Linked DNA regions of Schizosaccharomyces pombe. The protein of the gene in region 1 binds, or shares a complex with, the protein of each later gene. Each region holds a gene or a part of one and is shown on either strand. Other genes may lie near its edges. The genes, in order: mrpl31, SPOM_SPCC777.17C, mhr1 and mrpl10.

Region 1 (3,609 bases):
GTAATATCTTTAGTTTTCTTCATGCCTTCATTGAGACCCCAGAGTCCACCAATCGCCAATCCACTTAAATAAGAAGTTCCAGTACCGTAACAAAGATCATCTTGCCATCCGCGAGATGGGATAGCCATGCTATCGCCTGGAAGAGTAGAAAGAGCATCTTCCTCAATCAATAAGTAATCCAGAGGTTTATCTAAATCAGCGAGGGGATGTAACTTGGCGGGATCGAATTCAGAACCCGATAAAATATCTGAGGCTGTAGCCTCGGTAGGGACCTGCAATTCAGAAGAATCAATCTTTGAGGTTGGTTCCTCTTCTTTATTTCTTGTAAACAACCAAGACATATCTTAAAAAGTTGATTTTTCGCAAAGGCGCGATGGTGGTTGTCTGCAGGTAGCGGTGGTTACAGGAACTGTGTATTAGCACCTAAATTAAAATAGTAGAAAAAAATTGTTGAGACGTAAAAAGTGTCGCAATTATCATGAATTTACATTTATATATAAAAAAAAAGACTTAATGAATAAATCCTCGATCGTTAAATAACGCCCGAACTTATTTACTCGATCACCGCTTAAAATTCTAGACAAGTTGGGCATAGGTCCATCGATAAAACAATAGAATAGAAGAAACTATAAAACTTTTTTTTATGAGAGAACAAACAACGAAAATACAAAAAATATAACACTAAGTATTATCAATTATACAGTTACGCAAAGCAAGCATAAGACCGTTGTGAATTAAATTTACGTCCAGACAAATCAAAGGTCTCTATTAATATTAATATGCCATTCACATTAAGAGCCAAACCAAAGCGTGTTAAAGGAATACATTGAATCCGTAAATATCCTAAGTACGAACAGGTAAAGAAAGCTAAAGTAGATATCTAACAACAACAAAAAACGAAACTTGCTAGCTCAAAATCACAAAACCATATTCAGCACATTTAAACGACCCAAAACGAAAGAAGGCCTTTAAATTTCTTTGAGCGCAAAAGTAAGACTGGGAATTTAAGCAGTCTATTTGAGGACATACTTGCGAAAAGCAAAGTAAGCAACAACCATCACAAGGACAAAGAGCCACATAGCAGGCTTAACTGGTTGAGAAGAATCATATCCACTTCCACCAGCGGCAGCACCAGTTGTGGGAAGCTGAGGGCCATCTTCAGTCTAAAATATGTTAGAGTGTCGAAGCAAATTTTTACAAAAATTTTAACGAGCCTATGGCGAACGAAGAGAAAAAATAAATGACATACTCTGAGCAAGTTTCCAATGTAAAATTTTTCGAGCAACTCCTGAGCATCCTCAGAGTGACCAACATCCTCGAAAGGACCGCTAGCATCACGACCTAAAACAAGTTAATAATCACAGAAACGAACAAAAAAAAGCCCCTAGCGATGGTAGAGAAAGGCAGAAACTTTGTATAGCCAATCCAAAAGCCGTATGTGAAGAATCGAAGCGATATCGTCAATCAATCTTTCCAAAATTATGTATTTCAGTGTATTCAGAGTACTGGAAATACAAAACATCGAGTAGAGAGCGATCAATCTTGGAACATATAGACTGTACTTAACAATTCACCTTCAATGACAATGTCGCATTAAACATCGTATTTATTCAGGATATCGCATCTATTTTTGTACGTTCCTACGGCAAAGATTCGTCCTGAATCTTTCAAATTAAAGAACATGTGTATATGCGACACCTAAACTCTCGTGAAATTCAAAGTTTTGTAACGCTAGTTGTCTGAAACTTCGATTTCTACGACTCCACACAATCGCGACCAATTTTTATGCATTACAACCAATCTTCCTCAAGACCTCCATTATCGCGTACCCCTAAAAATTTACTTACCGGCCAAATCAACAAGAACCTCTTCACCACCAGGGTGAGCGTCAAGGAACTTGGAAATATCATACACCTTGTCTTTTACAACAATGTACAAATCATCACGAGTGTTATGTTTTAACACTTCTTCAACAGTAATTGTCTTCTCTGCCATGATCAAGTTCTGCTTATTCTTCCTTAAAGGTGGTATTTAACGGTTATAACCCAGGAGCTAATTACTCTCGAGATGTTGGTTGCAAATGCCCTATCGCGATTTATCTAGCAGGTGGGAAGTAGAAATGAGCCGATTCTTACTGGCAGGTGGTCACGTGGATTCGAGTTGGAAGGTACACCCAAGGATATGAACTTACCCAAAACCTATATCATTCTTCAGTTAACCAACTCCACCATTTTGGAGGTGTAGTGTTTATATTTGAATGGCAATATAATATTTAAATCAATTTAGGACGCTAATCAAGTTAATTTTTGTTCACATCTTTGCTGTTTCGTTGGAGCCGTAAACTACTTTGTGACAAACCATCAACTACTCAGAATTTGTCTATCACCCAAAAACTTAACAAAAAATTTTTATTTGCTCTTTTTGATCCAACCTTCTTCCTCTCCTTTTGATTTTATACGAAAAATATGCTGGGTGCATTTAACTCGACTTTGGCTCGCTTTGGCGGTCTTGTTCATAAAGTACCTTGGAGATTATCCCAGCGAAGAAAATATCGTCACCGTCAACGACTTCGTGCCGTCGATGAGGTGGTAGATGTTTTGCGCACGGCGTTGCAAGAGAAAAATCAATCGTGCAAACGAATTGAAAGTTTCGTTGCTAACCATCAGCCTGAATCCCAAATGTCACCAAAGGATAAATACACTATGTTTACCAGGAAGACTCAAGGTGCCGGTCTCCAAGGCTTCCGCAAGGGTGTCCATAAATCACCAAAATGGACCCGTAGTACTAATCGTGTTAATCCCACTGGCTTTTAAAAACGTCTGGTTGCAAAAGTTTACTACTTTTTTTTTCATAATTTTAATGCTCTATGAATAATAAATGTAATGGATTATTTTAATAGCTTATTTTATTACTTTTTTATTGCAAAAACTCCCACCTCTTCCTCGTCTTCGTTCATATTCAATTTCCAGTTTCATACATATTCAAACAAACGACATTAGCCTTTAGTTAGAGTAAAGTTCATATCACCTCTATTATACGTCTCTTTAATTCTTTGCTCTGTAAAACAATACATAAGCAGACGATGTGACAATATCCTCCGGATCTATTTCACAAATAGCTGTATCATCAAACTTAAAGAATGTTTGGCTCGATGCATCTCTTGCATAGGCAGTATAATGACCATTACTCATAAACCCGTGATGATTGTCCACTGCATACAAATCGTAAAGCATCGATTTCTGTGACGATAGCCACTCATGATCTTTTATAAATGGACTCAAAAATTGCTTCAAATTGAGATCAAATACTGGATAAACTACTAAATCCCTTCGTTTACGTCTTCTCCGCAAATCTCCACCGTGGCCGCTGAATCGATTTAAATGAATGACTAGTATTTTTGGCAATCGCCAGATCTCCAGCCGTTTTGTTGCCGGTCGAAATGCCTTACACCCAGGACAATACCAGGAATCCTGTAAATCAAGCTGCTCTGGCTTGGAAAACTCCAGTAAACAATCTTCAAGGGTGATGGACTCCATATGGAACTGAATTTTTTCAAATATCCATTCGCAGTTATAAAATAACTTTTCATATTGTTGATCGTTCCATAGA
Region 2 (3,513 bases), 730 kb from region 1:
AACAAATAGGGTATAAACCTTTACTAGAGCGGTGCCTTACATATAGAACATGTAACAAACTCTCGTATAATTATTCAAAAAATTGATATTATCAAAAACTAATAGTATTTTCCACATAGCTTATTTCTTTTTTGCAGCGGCGGCGGCAGCAGCAGCGGCTTGTTTTTGTTTCGCTTTTTTGCTAGAGCGATACATTATGTAGGCAGAGATCCCAAAAATAGCTACATTCATTCCAAGAGGGGTGTATTTTTGACTTAAGTGTCCGTAAAGTGCAAGTGCCTTTCCAAAGACCCAGTAAAAGGACTTCAAGGGCCCGTTAACAGAGAAAAAACCTTGCTCTTTTTTCATACTTTTGAACCCGTCTTTTTCATATAAGGCGATTGCCTTGTTCTTGGGAAGAACCTGAGGAGAAACACGGTAGAAATTTTGATTATCGATGAAATAATAAGAAGGAATCCGAGAAATGAGTAAGCGTACAGAAAGTTCGAGGCTACTGCTCAAGTAAACACGGGCAAAGTGGACATCCGGATATTTTTCATGAAAAGCATGCGAAAGGTCCTAAAATTAGTTAGTACAGATTCAATTAAATCCAAAGATGGTTTAATTTATTTCCGAGGCTCAAAATTCAATCTCATAACAAGAGCATTTGGACAACATTAAATGCAGTCCATTACTTACGTTAAAAAGTAGCTCTCCAAGAGTACAGTTAGCACAGCCTTCAGCAGTCAACTGCACAAACCATTTGCCAGATTCAATGACATGATCCCAGGTTTTATCTGAAAGTTCGACAACGGTGGAATTGTCAAAAGCGCAAACTGGGTCTGTGTTGTATTTTTCATACGGTACCTGTAAGACATTCATAGCTTCAATGGCAGCTGATTCATCTCCTTCACAACTATAAGCTGCCACGAAATGCAGAAGTTCAAATAGAAACACAAAAAACAAATTAATTTTCATTGAAGCTGAATAAGGTAATGAAAAATATTTTCTCTGCTGCTTTAGCAATAATAAACACGAGTTATGAGATGATTTTGGATCCAACTCAAAATAGTTGGTAGCTGTGAGAAGAAGATGCTAGACGAGCTGATAGAGCAGAAACGATGGCCGCACAATACGCAGTAAACGTTTACCATTCAAGGATTTAAATTTCATATTAACTATACTATTATAGGAAAATCCAAAGCTTGTTATTGTAATTGAGAAACACTAAGCATCAACCCTGATAAAATATTACAATAACGATAATATTCAAACTCAGAAAGAGACTACGCTTCTAGTGAAGCCTTTTAATTAAATTTTTTATATTTTTTTATAGAAAAAAGTCAATGCTGAATACTTCGTAATTCTTGTTAGTAATGTAACAATATCTCGTAATGAAAAGCTAGAATTGTTCAAATTGCAGCTAGCTAAGCCTTAATTAATCCACTAATAAACTCAATAAATTCTTTTTATGTTGATTGAACTAAGTGAGAGTTTAGGTATTATTATTCCTTCGTTTTCGTCGAGAATTCGGACCCTTGTAACAAATGTGCTTTCATAGATTTTAAGGCATCAACAGCAATCGCTTGCTTCTTGGGGAAAAGTGTATTTCGATAATATCCCCTTGTCACTGAGACGACATCACCTTTTGTAAAGTTAGTAGTTTCCTACGACGGCTAAAAGAATGCATTTCTTATAATAAAAGGATGTAACCACTACCTCCCTATTATAGGTTTGAAATGAAGAACATTATAATTATGAAAAATTTAGCATACCTTGCCTTCCTAGCTTTGAAACTTCGTTGTTTAACAGTTTTACCAAAAACGGTTTTGGCTGTTTACGAAGAAACCTCTAAATAACTGTGTAAGTAACGGTGATTTTTTTTATAAGCTTGACATACCAGTTGCCCATAAATTCTTTGAAAAGGTGAGACTGCTAGTTCAAGGGAATTGAAGCGAAAAAATCGAGTTGTCGGTTTCATAATACTCATTTCAATTAAATGGGTGCACCAAGAAATCCGTCAAGAAAGTTTTTACAAAATAAAAAGAAAAGCAGCTTAAATAAATTCTCAATTGAATGTAGAATTCAAAAACCGTTAGTTTAGAGGTCTAAGACGAATCTTGTAGTGTGAACCTTTCCGATGATTAGATTTATAGTTTCTTTTAATTGTTATCAAAATAATATACTATTTAGGCGCGATATTTGTGATATGAAAATGGTCAATTTGAAATTGAGCGAAGCGCGATTCCAAGCTGTGCTGCGCGCAATACTTCAAGATCTACCAATATATCTCAACCAGTACCACCAACTTTATTTGTAGACATTTCAACGAACCCATTATAAAAAACATTGCTAATATTAGTGAATTAAAAAGAATAACAAACATCCTGTTTTTCTGTTCGAAAGTTGGGCCGCTAGTAAAACTATACTGAAATTACAATTACGTTGGTTAAATTGAAACACTTGGAAGTGGATATTTAGGGCTCTATGAACGGAATTAATACTGCTAACGAAGAAATTACAAGGAGCTTGGAAGAGTCCTTAAATATTTGCAAGCAGTCTAGTAGGCTGATGCAAAGAAACTTGCAGACAGGACGATTGATGGATGCATTTCGTAATTGCAGTATTAGTCTCGTGGAAATGAGAAATTCTGCACTTACTCCAAAACAATACTATGAGCTGTATATGTTTAATATGGAAAGCTTGCGTTTACTTGGGGGCACATTGCTGGAAACGCATCTGAACGGTACTCACAACCTAATGGACCTTTATGAACTTGTTCAATATGCCGGTAGTATTGTCCCTCGTTTATATCTCATGATAACCGTTGGAAGCGCTTATTTGGAAACGCCTAATGCCCTTGTACGTGAAATTATGAATGATTTGTTAGATATGTGTAGAGGTGTTCAGCATCCGTTAAGAGGTCTTTTTTTGCGCCATTATCTGCTTACCCAAACAAGAAAAGGATTACCTTTGGGATCAGAAGATGAGGAAGATGCATCTCGCAAAGGAACCGTACTCGATTCTGTTAAATTTTTAGTTATCAACTTTACGGAAATGAATAAATTGTGGGTTAGAATCCAACATCTTGGTCCAATTAAAGAATTTTCCAAACGTACCCAAGAAAGGAATGAGCTAAAGGTTCTTGTTGGGCTGAATTTGGTTCGATTATCTCAGTTAAACCTCGATATAGACACTTACCGAGATCATGTCCTTCCTGCCATAATCGAGCAAATTATTGAATGTCGGGACTCACTTGCACAAGAGTATCTTGTTGAAGTAATTTGTCAGGCGTTTTCTGATAATATGCATCTTCAAACCCTCGATACATATTTCGGTACGGTCATAAAGCTTTCTCCAAGCGTAAACGTAACCCAACTTGTGGTCGCTATGTTGAATCGCCTTACGGACTATGTCCAACGTGAATATGAATCTGATTCTTCTAATGAAGATGAATCTGAGACTGTAACCGAAAAATTAGGAGACATAAAAATTAATGAGGAAGTACAGCAAAAAGACGAGCAAGAATGCCCT
Region 3 (4,170 bases), on another chromosome or scaffold:
GATGCAAAAACATTATAGCGGTCTTTAGTGTAGCCCACTGTCTAATAACTAGTGTTGCATACTTTTCAAAGTATGATAAAACGAAGCAAGGCATCGCTATTATAGCGTATTGGTACGCAGTGCCTAATTAATGCTAACTTGTGCGTAAATTGATATTGACAGCACAATGATTCAATTTCATTCCTTAACAAGAGCCATCTCTTTTTGTTGGATGCTTAGAACGCGTGGATTTTTAGGCTATTCAAGTGTTTGGTTTTGATCTATTTATCTATTTTATATTTTAATTTCGCATTTTATTTTGCAATGTTCAAGTTGGAACTCAAACGTATATAATCACTATTGGTAAAAGGCTCTTCAAAATGCCAGACGAAAAGTTACCTCAATACAATGAAGTTTGGAATGATTTGGAGAAGGGTTGTTTACATTCTTGTCCTTCATATTCAGTCAATAATCATGTAAACAATCCAATTGTCAAACAAAACTCAACATTAACACAACCATCGTTACGAAAAAAAAATACAATGGCTGCACCTGCTAGATTAAGAAAGCGTTCGGAAAATGTGCGACTTACACAAGCTAGATATGCGATATTTCATATCTTCCTTCCTTTCATTCTTACTTTATTGCTTTATCATAATTTTTATAATTATTTCGATCAGGCATTGGCGGATCTTAATTCTGTGGTTAAATATGTTATTGAAACTATAGTGTTAATATTTACATACGTGATGACAGTGATTATTGTTTATTGTAAGTTTTTGAGATGATTTGAATTCATGGCTAACGATTTTCTAGTTTCATTTTCGTTAATTAAATTAGCGTTTGAAGAAGCTTATGTTTATGCACCATCTGTAGCTAAAGCGAATGAAGGTCTAGCTAAACATGTAGCTAAAACGATTGCAGGCCTAGTTAAATATGTAGCTAAAGCAATTCAAGGTTTGGCTCATATTATTTTATCCTTACTGTTGTTTATTCTCGGGCTCGAAGTAATAGAACAAGATGAAGAGACTGGCGACGTTGAAATGTCGTCTATGCGAGGCCAAGCAATTACCACAGAGCCAGCAAGTGACAACACAATGGCTGAGGGAACCGATTGCAACACTTCTAAAGATGTAGAATCGGGCAGCAGCTAAAAGTCATGGCTAGAAAAAAAAATCAAGGGGCTGCCAACCAGCTGCGAGTGTCTTTTTTATTTCATTACTAATTTTCTTACTTTCCTGCAGAAGCTCCTTTTTTCCCCTTTATTTCTATTTCTTGTATTATTACCTTATACGCATTGTCACTTAATCATTTCCGATGACAGTCATCACTCTTTTTCCATACATACATTTTTGTCTCTGTTATAGAGTAAACACGATGTGTTTCTGTGGTGCTAGGAAAAGTCATTTAACTAATGAATCTGGTTGTCAATTATAAATTAATCATCCTCTTTATTGTTTTACCAAATTGATATACAATCCTTAATTATGACTTTGTAAGATTTGCGAATTAAAAAATTGAACAAGTAAGGCATTACTCAAAAGACGCAAAGTAGTGATTTAACCTTAGTTTCTGTTTAATGCATAAAATGAGGATTCCATATATCATTTTCAAGTGTTCGGAGCTTTAAAATACAGTATATACAGGAAATATAAGTTCAAACTTGTTTCTAAAACAAATAAAAATGAAAAATCAATTTGGTGTAGAGCGAAAACCTATTTTAAATAATGCGATTTCCCAATTCCTGGTCAGTAGCAATTTCTTTACAAAAAGAATTAAAAAATTATTCAATTTGTATTATATGAAATCTTTCGTATTCAAAATCTACCAACATTCAGCCCAAGCGAAAAGTAATATTTTTTGCTATGTCCATAGGTAACAATATAATTTATTTCAGAGAACACCCATTGAAATTGCTGCTTATATTAACTGTGTAACATAATATATTAGGTCACAGAGAGATTCATTGCACTTTAAGTATCGTTAAGCAGATACCGAAATACGTGAGCGACACTTTAAATAGATATTAAACTGCGTAGCTGACCAGTATTCAAATTTTCCGTCACTCACCGTATCATTAAAACATTTACTGTTTTTGGCTGCTCAACGCGCAATGCTGCCTAACATCTGTGCTAGCAAACGATATGTGTTTATTGGGCACAACGTTTATACGCGGACGCGCTATTAACAAACTTCGCATCTCTTACAAGCATATATGTAAACAGCCAATCTGTACTCGTAAAAGGAAAGAATGCTTGAAAAGAACAAGTATCTCTATATATTTAGGCATATTCAAACGAATCAGGTACTTTTATCTCAAGGAAATGTTTTAAAAAAGACTGCGTTGTTTCAACTTCCCTACCCACTTCAAAAGCCAGTCGCTCCAAATGGTATGCGACCCGCTAAGCTCCGTAAAGACCATTGGGTTCCTTTACTAAAAGTCGAATTTCCTAATGAATCAATGTTTCAATCTGTTTTTATGCAACTGTTAAACTATCGAAAATATCGTTCTGTTCAACCACTGACTAGTGACCTTTTGAAATTGCCTATACCCGTTCGTAGAAGAAAAATAATGCGACAAGAGGTTCCTAACACGATTGCGGACTTGGCAGATATTTTAAATAAAGAAAAATTTCCCGAAAATTCCGTTCGTTTGCAACTGAGTGATAAATCCGATAGTGAATATGCAGATTGGCCCCCTAGTGTGCAGATTGATTCAGAGGAAATTAAACTCTCGCGAGGTTTCCGTGAAAAAACAACCGTAGACGAAGCTAGATGAAGCATAATATCATTACTTCTCTCACTTTCTTCCTTCAAAAACACCCCTCATCCATTTTTAGGCTTTCTTAAAGGGCATTATATGAAGTATAAGCTAACACATATTCATATTAGCTCAATCTTTTTTACTTAATGATAAAGTCCTTTTTACTAAAGACGGTTACGAATTCTTCCCAGTGTATCCAGTGTATTGCACTGGACAGCTTCCTTAGCTTATCATTGTACTTCAATGCGAGAGTATTGGCTAGATACTCAAGACAAGATAAATTTAATACAAATCGACACCAAATACTCGTATCTTTATTATTTTACCATTTTGAAGTTTTCGAGCTCCTATGAAATATATGCAAGATTAACTCATCACTTTATTGCCTCGTTTTTTTTTTGTTTAAAGTTTGGTCCAGAATAAAAAAAAAATATTAGCATCTAAAATAGAAATCATGGACCAAATATTTAAATAGTTATAACAATGCCAAAAGAAAAGACTTTATAAACCAAAGACATAAATACCATAAATCGTTAAAGAGCGGTAGTTATAGTTAAACTCTTAGAGTGGATTAATGCACAAGGAGGTAATCCTTCCATAAATATTAATAAGTCATCAACATATTCCTCGCTTTTTCGAAAGCTCTTATGAGTGTCGGCCAAAGGTGCTGGTAAAACAGTAAACAATACAGAAGTATTTTTAGTATGTTTCAGCACGATTTCATTCATAATTATGTATTGAGATCTCGAGGATAAATCGTTAAACGTCAACTTCTCTTTAGAATAGTCCCTTCCTATTTTTTTCTTTGGTGCTAGTCTATCAGATGAACTATCTTCTCGGACCACGTTGGGCATCAGAGATGACTCAATAGTACTGTCAGAATAAGTTCTTCTATTTTCTTGTTTTGGTGATAAAGAACGGTTTCCGAAAGAAGATTCAGTCTCAAACGACTTTACTGAATGCATATGTGGCCCAAGGCGGAAACTCAATGGCACACTTAAAGGTGGAGCACTCTTATCAAAGCTGGCAGATCTAAAGTTATAACCAGACATACGACGTGGAAAACGAATAGGTCCTAAGGAATCTACAGTATTTCCTCTTCTTTTCTTTTCTTCCTGCCACCACGAGTCATCTTTCAGTAAGTTTTCAAGCTCGGAAGACTTGCTAGGTCTCACATGCTCATTTTTGACAATGTACCTATATGCATCCAAATTCATTGCAGCAAGACAGAGCACTACAACGTCGGCTTTGATACGGAACGTTTCTAGCATTTGATGCATGCTTTCTCGTTCTGCCTCTATTTCATTCTCGAATTCAACAAGAGTGATAAGCCGTAGCCTACAACCTTGTTTCCAATCTGAAGCTGTATGAAGGATCCAACTAAGTTGAAAAACCATAGTATACGTCTCGAAATTCGTCGCAAACGT
Region 4 (3,723 bases), on another chromosome or scaffold:
AAATTCATACAGTAAAATAAGCCCTTCCAAAGCTTGAGAAAGTCTAACCTTTCAAATTTTTTCTTTTGGCTTAAAAACCGCTGCAACGATTCAAGAGCCTTATCACGAGTTTTTCGATCTTACAGTGTTAGTACATTAATCATTTATATGTAAGAAATTTACCATTAGCTGCAAGTTTCTTAATAAACGGCGACGGAGCCGACATTGTTGGTTTATTGACAAAGTGTTGAAGCAGTTCTTAGCATCGTTCCTTCCATACTGCGTTTTAGTGCACTAATTGGAGAGTTGATAAATGTCCCTTTCTAATATATGAAATAAGGAGTTTCCCAGTCAATATGTATTATTTTTTTTAGAATTGACCGTTTATGTAGATTAATTGATCATAAGGTTAATGTACTACTATGGTTCGCTTACACTTCTATTACAAATGCCGGTTTTCTTAGTCATTCTTATATATAAGTCTTTAACCGTTCCATTGATCAACAAATGTTCTTTTTCTTCTTCCTTGCATGCCTTTGAAAAGGAGATCCTTTGAAAGATCTTTTCCTGTTGGATAGACAATCGGAGGATGAAAAAATTTTAAGAAAGCTTTAAACAAAAAAAGGCAAAAGATAATAATTTAACAAACAGTCGGCAGGGGTTCTTGATTATACAAAAAAAGTGCATGACTGCGAATGCTCAAATCTACTAATGAAGCAAATGAATAAATGTGAGAAAGGGTTTATCTGACAGAGAATGAACTGACTACAACAAGGGGATTTGGGGGATAAAGAAGGAAGCTATATTTTCGAATGAGAAAGGTATTCAAAATATTACTAATGGGTATTGAACTGTAAGCGAAAAAGTCAGTAGAGAGCTCAAACACCGAAATTGGAAACGTAATTATACAAATGTACTAAGAAAAGGATGCAGATATTTCCTTACAAAACTCAACATGTAACCCATCCAAGAAAGTAAAGGAGGCTGCACGGAATCATCAATAGACATAACAAAGTTTTAAGGACATATTAGGAAAGCGGGATTTTTGATGAACATATATCAAGTTCTGATGTAATATGGGAACTACTTATTTATCTTTAACAATCGGTTCGTAGGGGAATCGTTGGTCGCCATAATATAGCTCTCGAATATTTTTAACGTTGGCAAGATACCCTGCAAAATGTGGATTTGTGTAGTAGCGTATGTCTTTCTTTGAAACTGGAAGGGGAGGGCGAGGAGGTGTACGAAAACTTGAAGGATGCAAATGGGCACGTAGCGCCAACGGGCTGAAATATACTGTTGTTATACTGCCGCCTGCATTTTTGATTTGTTGTATAGCTTGAACTGTAGCCTTAGAAACTTCTATGGAAATTGCTGTTTTAAGGAGTCCAGGTTCGTCAGCAGTAAGTTCAACTCCATGTTTAATACCTCTACAGCATCTACTATCGAGGAGGTCTTTCATAGTAATTGTCTTGCTAGCATCCAATCTACCACGATCAATCCATTCCTGAACTCTCCCTAACCCCAGACGCAACGGTTTCTTCAAATGTCCCGTACTGTGACCAACTTTAGGAAATAATTTGGTGATAGGAGTTTGACCACCTTCAAAACCAGGTTTAATTCTCCGTCCACGCCTTTGACCAGATCCTTTATGACCACGTCCAGAGGTTTTTCCTAAACCGCTCGCAGGGCCTCTACCCACTCGCTTCTTTGACTGATAATTTGCACTGTTGTTTAAATCATTCAACATACTGATGCCGCGGAAACTAGCACCAAATCTTGGATAACCAGAGGATCTCAAAAAACCATGAAATGAAGAACTGCGACAAACCCGAGATAAAATATTAAACATTTTCCAATTCAAAAAACGGGTTTCGTCGAGTTTAGATGGTAATAAGTCCAAGGCTGCTGTTTACTATTACAAAAGATTCGGACACACACGAATACGTAAAATTCTATAGCGTCTCATAAAAATATCTTTATTACTATATTCAGCATCGCTGCACTGCGCAATTCGAATTTGTTTCCTCCTTTATTTCTTCCTGACATATGCCAGTGCATAATTGCAGCAACAGCGATCTTGCTTGGTAGATATAATAACCCTTTACTTTATAATGGAATCGGCACAGGCAGTAAGATTTATCAACAGTAACTCGGTAACTAATGTTTGTAGGTCGCGGAACCTCTTGATTTGGTGAGGCTTTCTTTGGATGAAATCGTTTATGTAAAATTACGGGGAGATAGAGAATTAAATGGCCGTCTTCATGTATGAAATTTTTTTAACGTTTCTTGAATATTTTTCTTATTCTGAATTGGTTATACTAACTCGATTGTAGGCCTATGATGAACATTTGGTATGAATCATATTCATAACTCGCATTTGGATGGATTACTTACACGTATTTTAGAATATGGTACTAGGAGATGCTGAAGAAATTGTAACTATTTTTGATGATGAAGAGACCGATAAGGACAAGGCCTTAAAAACGATTCGCAAACATTATGAGATGCTCTTTGTTCGTGGTACGTAGATTCTAAATATTACGCTCGAAAAGTTTGACCATGATTAAGCTTTCCTTTTCGAAACTGTTTTTCCTTTTTCGCCAAATGCTAATGAACTTTAGGTGATTCGGTTATTTTGATTGCTCCACCTCGTAATTAAAGGAACGAATAAAATTACTATACAAAGCTATCTACATATTTTTATCTCATTCTTTTGTTTAAAATTTTTCGCTTTAGAGGTGCTTCTTCGTACAATAGTAACGACTTTTGATTTGAGTATTCTATATTACAGAAAAGTTTGATTTTCCTTTATTCCGTTGGATGGATAGTTTTATCTTTCTTTAGTCACGCACCACTTCTTGTTATTCCTTACATCCTTTTACTTAATAAAAGCAAAAGACTCTTCGAAGTTAACCAACATTCACGAGACGCTGAGCTTTGTCATTGAGACTTTTCATTAATGGTTTTATTCTTTGTACTTGACAGGATAGTAAGCGATTTTTGCTTGCATGGTGGTTGCTCTTGCGATCTAGCAAAATCAGATTGACATTCCTTTAGAGATCAGAGACATAATACCATTCATTGTGCAAATAAAAAAAAACTATCAATTGCTTTCGATTTGGCGGTGTTGTTCACTAGTTCATCTAGTATTTTTTTATTATTAACAAGCGTATCATCATATATAGGCGTAGCGGTAAAATAGAACAAAATAAAATAAATTCTACAAATATTGATTGTATCCAAACACCCAGGACCATTTATTTCATGAAATGCTCGTGTCAATAGTATTCTCATAACGATGCGCACCGCTGAGACTTATTTCAAGGACAACACGAGCGCCAGAGACCTCTCCTCTGCCTACACGCTCCCTTCGTTATGAATTCAGCTAAAGCTACCTCTCTCCTCTTTCAAGGCTTTAGAAAAAATTGCTTGCGATTGAACCGCATTTCTTTCGCTTCAGGTTTGATTAACCGGTTCACCGTCCCAGCTCGAACTTATGCTGACGAAAAGGTATTTTTTTTTCATTCTTCATCTTTTTGATTACTTGTTAACTTTTTTAAGGTGTTCGTTAGAAAAAAGCCGCATGTCAATATTGGTACTATTGGTCATGTTGACCACGGTAAAACGACGTTGACGGCTGCTATTACTAAATGCCTTTCTGATCTTGGTCAAGCTAGTTTTATGGATTATAGTCAAATTGACAAGGCCCCCGAGGAAAAGGCACGTGGTATTACCATTTCA

The links.
Region 2: mrpl31 (region 1) and SPOM_SPCC777.17C share a complex: the UniProt entries of both Schizosaccharomyces pombe proteins name them as parts of the mitochondrial large ribosomal subunit.
Region 3: mrpl31 (region 1) and mhr1 share a complex: the UniProt entries of both Schizosaccharomyces pombe proteins name them as parts of the mitochondrial large ribosomal subunit.
Region 4: mrpl31 (region 1) and mrpl10 share a complex: the UniProt entries of both Schizosaccharomyces pombe proteins name them as parts of the mitochondrial large ribosomal subunit.

Annotation. Positions count from the first base shown.
Region 1 is NC_003421.2:886,393-890,001, forward strand, and holds mrpl31 (mitochondrial 54S ribosomal protein mL60), read left to right. Parts: upstream 1-2,193; 5' UTR 2,194-2,465; coding exon 2,466-2,813; 3' UTR 2,814-2,903; downstream 2,904-3,609. Other genes in the region: TIM23 translocase complex subunit Tim23, read right to left, coding at 1-341; oca8 (cytochrome b5), read right to left, coding at 1,014-1,163, 1,250-1,341, 1,848-1,995; ubiquitin hydrolase Ubp1, read right to left, coding at 3,045-3,609. UniProt on the Schizosaccharomyces pombe protein: Component of the mitochondrial ribosome (mitoribosome), a dedicated translation machinery responsible for the synthesis of mitochondrial genome-encoded proteins, including at least some of the essential transmembrane subunits of the mitochondrial respiratory chain.
Region 2 is NC_003421.2:1,617,090-1,620,602, forward strand, and holds SPOM_SPCC777.17C (mitochondrial ribosomal protein subunit L9), read right to left. Parts: upstream 1,970-3,513; coding exon 1,880-1,969; exon of another isoform or gene 1,831-1,879; coding exon 1,755-1,830; exon of another isoform or gene 1,625-1,754; coding exon 1,485-1,624; 3' UTR 1,057-1,484; downstream 1-1,056. Other genes in the region: SPOM_SPCC777.12C (ER stress response thioredoxin family membrane disulfide oxidoreductase), read right to left, coding at 121-558, 679-957; retromer complex subunit Vps35, read left to right, coding at 2,467-3,513. UniProt on the Schizosaccharomyces pombe protein: Component of the mitochondrial ribosome (mitoribosome), a dedicated translation machinery responsible for the synthesis of mitochondrial genome-encoded proteins, including at least some of the essential transmembrane subunits of the mitochondrial respiratory chain.
Region 3 is NC_003423.3:1,799,319-1,803,488, reverse strand, and holds mhr1 (mitochondrial 54S ribosomal protein mL67 ), read left to right. Parts: upstream 1-2,198; 5' UTR 2,199-2,230; coding exon 2,231-2,758; 3' UTR 2,759-3,276; downstream 3,277-4,170. Other genes in the region: SPOM_SPBC18H10.18C (uncharacterized protein), read left to right, coding at 360-750, 796-1,133; vacuolar membrane cation-chloride cotransporter Vhc1, read right to left, coding at 3,277-4,170. UniProt on the Schizosaccharomyces pombe protein: Component of the mitochondrial ribosome (mitoribosome), a dedicated translation machinery responsible for the synthesis of mitochondrial genome-encoded proteins, including at least some of the essential transmembrane subunits of the mitochondrial respiratory chain.
Region 4 is NC_003423.3:1,821,044-1,824,766, reverse strand, and holds mrpl10 (mitochondrial 54S ribosomal protein uL15m), read right to left. Parts: upstream 1,865-3,723; 5' UTR 1,832-1,864; coding exon 1,067-1,831; 3' UTR 810-1,066; downstream 1-809. Other genes in the region: Nop52 family nucleolar protein, read right to left, coding at 11-118, 163-205; U6 snRNP-associated protein Lsm3, read left to right, coding at 2,094-2,111, 2,153-2,245, 2,316-2,333, 2,388-2,502, 2,604-2,641; translation elongation factor EF-Tu Tuf1, read left to right, coding at 3,358-3,492, 3,544-3,723. UniProt on the Schizosaccharomyces pombe protein: Component of the mitochondrial ribosome (mitoribosome), a dedicated translation machinery responsible for the synthesis of mitochondrial genome-encoded proteins, including at least some of the essential transmembrane subunits of the mitochondrial respiratory chain.